2 linked regions of the Canis lupus familiaris genome follow. The protein of the gene in region 1 purifies or fractionates together with the protein of each later gene. This does not show direct contact. Links are inferred from orthologs where the notes say so. Each region holds a gene or a part of one and is shown on either strand. Other genes may lie near its edges. The genes, in order: KHDRBS2 and FBXW11.

Evidence for each region.
Region 2: the proteins of KHDRBS2 (region 1) and FBXW11 purify together in Homo sapiens (affinity purification with mass spectrometry; 3 studies listed by BioGRID and IntAct, counting the BioPlex papers as one, with this or other methods). This does not show direct contact. The link is inferred for Canis lupus familiaris from reciprocal best matches to the Homo sapiens genes KHDRBS2 and FBXW11.

Annotation. Positions count from the first base shown.
Region 1 is NC_049233.1:26,361,926-26,366,510, reverse strand, and holds the start of KHDRBS2 (KH domain-containing, RNA-binding, signal transduction-associated protein 2), read left to right. Parts: upstream 1-1,571; 5' UTR 1,572-1,740; coding exon 1,741-1,831; intron 1,832-4,585. UniProt on the Homo sapiens protein: RNA-binding protein that plays a role in the regulation of alternative splicing and influences mRNA splice site selection and exon inclusion. Binds both poly(A) and poly(U) homopolymers. Phosphorylation by PTK6 inhibits its RNA-binding ability.
Region 2 is NC_049225.1:41,234,030-41,237,845, forward strand, and holds part of FBXW11 (F-box/WD repeat-containing protein 11), read left to right. Parts: intron 1-2,398; coding exon 2,399-2,517; intron 2,518-3,723; coding exon 3,724-3,816.

The sequences.
Region 1 (4,585 bases):
CTGGATCACTGAACTTCTTGGACTTTGCCTTCATTTCCATACCTATAAAACGGAAAAAGCAACACCTATGCCATGTTTTTCAGAGCTCTTCTTCTTCTTCTTCTTCTTCTTCTTCTTCTTCTTCTTCTTCTTCTTCTCTTCTTCTTCTTTTAATTGAAGTTCATTTTGTCAACATATAGCATAACACCCAGTGCTCAGAGCGCTTCTATGAGGACAAATTGAGATAACGGATGTGAAGACACGTTGACATTTTAAAAATTATAGAAGTAAAATATACTCTTCCACCTTATCTTGAAAAATTATAAGGAAAAGGTTTGAATACTGGAAGAGAACTTGGAAAAGTTTTAGCGCGCTTTATTTGTAGGAAAATTAGTCCCCAATCTTCTACTCTGAAAACGGTGGCGAGGCAAACTGGAAAATGATCGTTTATGAAAAGAGACGTTAGAAAGATCGTTTTATAACATTTGGAGCATGCAAGCTGCATTTTCAGGCCCCCATTATTAAGAGAAGGATGGGCACTGCTTCCAGTGTTGGTGATACCAAAGGAGGGTTTAACTGTCCTTTAAATAGAGGTGGGATAGATACAAAGTAGCTCGGCAAAAGCACCTGGTGAAACGCACCGTCACATCTAAAATAAAGAGAAAGGGAGAAATTAGAGCAACCTTGGTCACCTATTCGCTGGTCTCTTCCTTCTTCCACCTGTCTTCCCAATTCTTTCACAAACTGTGGCTAACTAATTATATTGGCTTTTTAGTTTTAAAATTCAGCCCCCTCTCTCAGAACCTCTCCTATCGATAGGGATTGCGGGAGGAGGGGTGGAATGGGCAGGAAACCAGAACTAAGTCAATACCCTAATGATTGTACACTGGAAGCATGTTGCTCTACAATATCGCCCCCGAGTCTCTTTGTTTATCAATGAACATCCTACTGCGTCCTCGAGATGTAGGTCAGGCTCATTGGAAATATCAGCCGCGGACCACATGCAGTCTTCATGATATTTCCAGCCCGGGTGCGCTGCTGATTCCTGCACACTGGAGTGCGTCTGAGCTGCGAGGTGGAGAGGGGACACCTGTACCTTAGGGACGCAGGTGAAGTCCCGTCTACCTTCCTGGTACTTTCCCCGGTGCTTCCTCCTTGCCTCGGCCGCTCACTCTTCCCCTCCATCTCCCCTGCTGTTTTGGCCGCAAGCTTCTCCGCTAAACCGGGGCTTTTCCCGCTCTCTCGTTTCTCCGCACCCCAGCCGAAGACCGAGTGCTCCACGCAACTGGGCATGCCTGATAGCCAGGAAAGCTCGGGCTGCAAGAAGAAAGCGTTTGCACCTTCTGCGCCCCCCTCCCCTCTGCAGCTGCCTCCTGCCAGTCAGGCGATCCGACGTGCGGCGCGGCCCAATGAGGGCCCGCAGCCTGCGCGGGGGCCCGGCCTCTCGTCGCGCCGCCACCAATCAACGGCGGGCGGGGGTGGGACGCGCCCTGTTCCCGCCTCTCCAGTTAAGGCCGCGGGTGTGAGCCGGGGCTCGCGCGAGCCGGGGACGACGGCAGGGACCGGCAGGTGTGGGCGCGGGGCCGCTCGGCCCGACGGCGGGAGTCGAAGGCGCTCGGTGCATGGGCCCGTGAGGACGCGCCGAGCTCCCCCGGCCGCGGCGGAGGCGGAGCAGCGCGGGAGCGAGGCGCTGCCCGGCGACCCTGCGTCCGAGCGAGCGGAACCCTGCGCTTCGCTCGGGGACGGTCCGAAGTCCGCGCTATGGAAGAGGAGAAATACTTGCCTGAGCTGATGGCAGAGAAAGATAGCCTGGATCCATCTTTTGTGCATGCATCGCGCCTCTTGGCGGAAGGTAGGACTCGCCCCCACGGAGCGGCACGGACCCCTGGCCGCCTGCTCACCGCGGCTCGGTTAGGGGAGTGAAGTTGGGGAGGGACGCCTGCCGCCTTCGCAGAAACTGTCCTCCCCCCCCGAGGATGCTCGCCTCCGAGCTCGGGCGGACCGAGCCCGCTCTTGGGGCGGGCAGCGGGGCTCCTTCTCGGCGTCTTAATTTGGGGCAGACCGGAGCTGCGAGATGTAATGGCAGTGCTGAGGTGACCTGTTAGGATCCCCGATGGAGAAACCATAAAGTGCAGCGCGGTCAACAGGGATATTTTCACTTTGCAGAGGAAAAGGAAATCAGTTTGGAAGTAAATGGGGATCAATGGAGTGTGTTCTAAGAGCTTCTTAGCTACAAATCAGCATTTTTGTTTTTTGTTGGTTTTTTTTTTTTTTTTTTTGCTGCATTTTGGGAAGTGATTTTGATAGCCTTTATCTAATTGCAGCCTTTCCTATGGAAAGTCTTAGGATTAACCTAGATTAAACTATGTGTGTTCATCAGTATTTGTGAATGTAGCAAAGGCTAAAGTGCTCATCAATTTATTTGAAGTGTGATGATTGGGTACTCTGCGAGATGCTGGCCCCTGGGAACACTCTACGATTGATCAACTGTTTTACCAAGTGTGCGTTTTCTTTTGTGTACCTGTAATGTTAAAGGAGATTTCATTCCCAGAGGAGGAGTGTATGTGTATATCTTGTGTTTTGGGTTGCTTTGAAAGATCGTTTAAACACACACACACACACACACACACACAAACTTCTGTATGACAGAAATTTTAGCCCAATTACTCCATTCATCTTGAAATAATGCCATCTATCTGCTAAAGATACAATATCTGTAGTAATCTACACATGCCTTTTTAAAAACAACTTCAATTTTTTTTTGAGGAGTCCTTCATTAATAATAAATTGCTTCATCATCAAATTTTGTAGCTTAGGTTGTTATGGACTTACCTATAGCAAAACTAAAAGTGACAACTTCCTCTGCGTTGGCCCTTCTGTGTTAAAAGAAATGTTCTCTTTTTTGAGACCTAGTTGTACATGGAAGGAAAAATTGTAAACCTCCATGTATGATTCAAATAGACATTTGGTTTGATTAAATATTTTATTTATACGGCATTTACGACAGCAGTGGAGTGCAAGGTATTTTTTCTTTTTGCATGCTAAACAATTAAAAGATTTATAATCAAAATCTTGAAAGTGTGAAACAGCTAAACTGCTTTTCAAGGAACGAGTTGGTTTTCTAGAGGAATTGGAAAGGTAAAAAGCAATTATACTTACTGCTTTCTTGGTTACCGAATGAAAACAATACAAATTAAGTTGAAAAGTCAATTTAAAAATTAAACTCTGCCTCTGCTTTATTAAAAATAAAGATAATTGCATATAAATAATAGGAATATTGGAAATTAATGAGTTAATGAACGCCTAAGATTGTTCTAAATGATTAAAAATGCAATTAAGCCTTCTCCAATCATTTATTTCAATATATCTTCCAGAAGTGTCTTTATTACGCTGATAACGTCTTTAAAATGAAAAAAAAAGTTAGGAATTGATCATTTTCTCTGACCTGCTAATTGGGAGTTCTCTTTGGGACAGCAGGCTCAATGATTAATTCATTAGTCATTGATGAGAAGCTAGTGGAGTTAGTGTACGTTTCACAACCTCCACACTAAAGAAATGCATATAAGAAACTATTAGTAGAGTGCGTAAGTATTTCTGCAGCTGGTGAAACAGTCAGACAAGGCTGTGCCCTTGATTCCTTAACATTCTATCTTTCCCAGGAACTTGATTTCTTGATACTTAGGAACATGTTTGAATGTACCTTGTAATTTAATTTTTTCCCAGTAGGGGGAAGCATGCCCTGCTTTTGTAAGGAATTAGGAGGAAAAAGCTCCTAAATAGAAAACCATCTAAGTAAGAAACAAAGAGGTGTTCAAATTTCAGAGAAATCATAATGAGGAAAAGAGAATGGAGGAGGTGATGATTATAACCTTGGAATATAGAGAAATGTATGCAATAAAGATACATAAAGTTTACATTAATTCTTCATTTGTACCTGAAGTTCTTTGTGTGTACCTACTAAAGAGTATAAGGTGAGTGTCCTTTGGAATCTCTAATAAATCTTAACGTACATTTTTCTTTATAGATCTTTCAGTGTTTTTTTCAAAAGCCATCTGCCAAGATTTCCAGATTTTGTTTCAGATCTCTATAGGAGAATATGTTGAAATGATTTTATTTCTCTTACCTGGAAATGCACTGATTGAAGGCAGTGGCTATAAATAAACCTGACATAGATATTCATTTGGAGAGAAGGTGCACACTGAAGTACATTTCAGTCAGTACTGTGCAGACAGTCTCAAGACTGAGTGAGCAATAAAAATGATCCAGATGATTCACTTCTTCAGAATGATTTTCTGGAAGCTAATGTATATAAGGTCAGTGATGTAAACCAATGAGGTTTCATAGTGATTTATTTTGCATTTTTGATTGGCAATAAATGCAAATCAGTGCTCAATTGCAACTACCTAGTAAGGCCACAGGGCTAAAAGTAGCAGTGTGTTGATTATTTTGTTATTTTCATTGTAATTTGTTTTATTTCACTTGTTTCTGCTACGTGTTTTCAGTTGGTATGATTCTGTGAAAGCTAATGGAAAAGCCCATACATTTTATGTATTTGATTCTTACTTAGAAGAGATCTTGAATAATATGGTTTGAAGAGTGCTTATAT
Region 2 (3,816 bases), on another chromosome or scaffold:
ACATTTCCCCATTGATGGAGTACATGCATCTTTTCACGTGCTTATTTGTCACATCTGTGTATTTGTGGTGAAGTATCTATTCAAATCTTTTATCTATTTTTGAAATGGGTTGTTTTCATTTTATTGAACTTTGAGAGTTCTTTACATATTCTTGATAGTTTTTTTTTTAACATATGTTTTGCAAATACTTTCTTCCAGTCTTGTCTTTTCATTTTCTCAAGGATATCTTTCACAGAACAGAAGATTTTGATTTTGACAAAGTGTTGTATACCATTTTTTCCTTTATGGATTATGCTTTTGATGTCATATCTAGGAAGTCTTTCATGGAGCTTTTTGAATCTGTAAATTCATGTCTTTCATTTACCAAATTAATTTCTTTTCTTTTCTTTTCTCTTATTTTATTTATTTAGGGACACCTGGGTGGCTCAGCAGTTGAGCATCTGCCTTCTGCTCAGGTTGTGATCCTGCAGTCCTGGGATTGAGTCCCACATCGGGCTTCCTACATGGAGCCTGCTTCTCCCTCTGCCTGTGTCTCTGCCTCTCTCTGTGTCTCTCATGAATAAATAAATAAAATCTTAAGAAAAAAAATTTTATTTATTTTGACAGAGAGAGAGAGAGCACAAGCAGGTAGAGTGGTAGGCAGAGGGAGAGGGAGAAGCAGGCTCCTGCTGAGCAGAGGGCCTGACATAGGGCTCTATCCCAGGACCCTGAAATCATAACCCAAGCCAAAGGCAGATGCCCAACTGACTGAACAATCTGGGTACCCCTCATTCACCAGTTTCAAAAGTCTTTGGCCATTAGTTTTTCAGATATTTTTTCTGTACCATTTTCTTGCTGTCTCCTTCTGAGACTAATTACATAAATATTAGATCTTTTGCTACTGTCTTACATTTTCTCAACCTTTTTTCCCCCTCTTTCTGGATAATTTCTGTTTATCTTTCCTCAAGTTGACTGCATGCTCTACCTCTTTCTTAGAAATTCACAGGATAGAGTAGCATGTAAAGGCTCTGAGACACCCAGTGTTTCCCAACTTCCAAAACATTTGACCACACAACTCTTGTTTTTATGTATTACTTATTGATAGCCCCGATAACTTGTGGCAGGTTAATTAATTTAATTAACTATAATTTTGGCAATTATCCTTTAAGGAATAGGTAAAAATGGTTTATAAGGACCTTGTCAAAGTATAGACTGGCCAGAGGCTTACATTTCATTTATATTGGATATGTTTCTAAAAAATTCTATTAATAGAGGTATATACCATGTTTAATTTAAAATATGCATACATTTGATTTATAAGACTTAAAGAGTAGAGTAGAAGTGTGCTATAGAGAGGTCATCTGGACCCATGTTTGGAAACCTTCTGTACTTCTTTCTATACCAGTCCTGGATCACTAATCACTCTTTCAGCTGCGTGTGGAGCCCCATGCAGGGCTCAGATCCACGACCCTGAGATCAAGGCCTGAGCTGATACCAAGAGTTGGATGCTCAACCGACTGAACCACCCAGGCGACCCACTAATCACTCTTTAAAAATAACTGTGGTGCTAATTAAGGTCAGAAGTTAGAAGCAAGCCTTGTTGTTGTAGAAAGATAGTTAAATGTCTACAATACTTGTTATATCTTGGGTACTTGCAGTAAACTTGAGGGACGCTGTAAATCATGATAATATTTTACAATGGAAGAAACAGGTCCACACAATCTATCTTTAACAATCTAATCTTCAAAAAGAAATGATTTACCCTCCCCCATTATATGAGGACAGTATTGAAAACCTGGAAAATCTAGGAAAGATCAAAAGAAGGGAGAAAAAGAGCACTCAGAGAACAAAACCAACTATTACTAACATTTTCTTTCCTTTCCTGTTTTTCTTTTTTTAAATATACATGTTATGTCATTATATAGATGGTTTTTTATTCTGGTTTTAAAAACCATTACTGTAATAAAGCATTATATTCTCTCATTAAAAACTTTTCAGAGTTTACTTTGAAATTTGTCTGAAATGTTGAACATTTTTTATTTTAAAATTTTTGTAAATAAACATAATGGATTGTGGTATGCATTTTTAAGGTTCTTACTAGATATTGTCACATTGTTTTCCAGAGAGTGAGCCAACTCTTTTCAGAGTTTATTTGAAAATTCCCGTTACAAAGCTGTTAAAAATAATGAGTACAATCGTTAGAGGGACAAAGTATGCAAAATAGTACATCTGTTTTGAAAGCTATTCAATATTGCCTCTTCCCTTTTTTGTCATTTTCCACCTGTTTGAAGTTTAACCACTCTTATTTATTATAACAGAGGTCTGTTTTATTTATGGTTCAGAAAATAAGGTGAGACAAACATATTTATCAGAATGTGATATACTAAATCACTATTTGTGGTTGATCTTGTCTCAATAGATTTGGGATAAAACCAGTTTGGAATGTTTGAAAGTGTTAACAGGACACACTGGCTCTGTCCTTTGTCTCCAGTATGATGAACGTGTCATTGTGACTGGTTCTTCAGACTCTACAGTGAGGTGAGTGATTTTGCTTTACTAGTCTGAATTTACAGTCTTTCATGAGAAGACTGAGATTGCACCCTTTTCAGGAATGAACACATACATACTTTGTATATGTTTTTGTATACTGTATTTGTAAACCACTTTGGGTGTAGTTTTATTTGAACAAAGTAGGGTGGAAAGCTTTTGTTAAGTAGGTCCTATTCCCATTGCTGTATGTTACAGAGATGGCAGTGTACTTTCCTGCAAAAACACATTACCTAGTGTTAAGCTAGCTTTCTCCTGGGATACCATGCTTCAGACATTTAGAAAAGTCATAGTGTCCTTTCTCTGTGCTTCTAGGCCATTACTTTTGCCATACAAGCCTGTGTCTTTCCTCCTTTGCTCTTTGTGAAGAGCAATTCTTAGGAGATTGCATTAACAGAGAAGCTACAGCATGAAAGGGCTGCCCCTAAGAATCCTGTATCTCATGGATGGAAGCAGTTGGGATACTAACTTTGTCCATAAAGCATTTGGGCACATAGATGAGTGAAATTGACAAGATGTGATGACTACAGTCTCTAGTTTGCAGTGGATAAATAAGAGACTCCGAGGCCTGTCAAAGGTCCAGAGGAATCTTAAGATTGGAAACTGTCCTCAAGGGATCCCTGGGTGACGCAGTGGCTTGGCGCCTGCCTTTGGCCCAGGGCGCGATCCTGGAGACCCGGGATGGAATCCCACATCGGGCTCCCGGTGCATGGAGCCTGCTTCTCCCTCTGCCTGTGTCTCTGCCTCTCTCTCTCTGTGTGACTATCATAAATAAATAAATAAATATATTTAAAAAAAAAAAAAAAGGAAACTGTCCTCAATTCCCCAGCTACCAAGCCTCCTCCCTGTCACTGCAAACTCACTGCAGAGCCCATCTACTGGGAGAATCATTTTGTTGTCAACACAAACCTGCAAACAAGCACTGTCCTTGAATACCTGGTGCTAAATCTAAACCTGAGCAGAGCTAGGATTGGCCTTCCTTTTTTGAAACCCTCTCAGTACTTCTTAGCAAATAGAATAATTGCTTCTGAGGGCTCCTTTTAGCCATGATCTTAGGTATCAGGTCCCATTCACCAAATACAAGCAAAGCTTACATCTCCCCAGCCTACTACTAAGAATGGGCTCGGGGCACAGAAGCTAGACTCTCTTCCTGGTTGTCTTAACAATGATGCATTGTGCTTTTTTGTTCTCATCTAGAGTCTGGGATGTGAACACGGGTGAAGTTCTAAACACGTTGATCCACCACAACGAGGCTGTACTGCACTTACGCTTCAGCAATGGACTGATGGT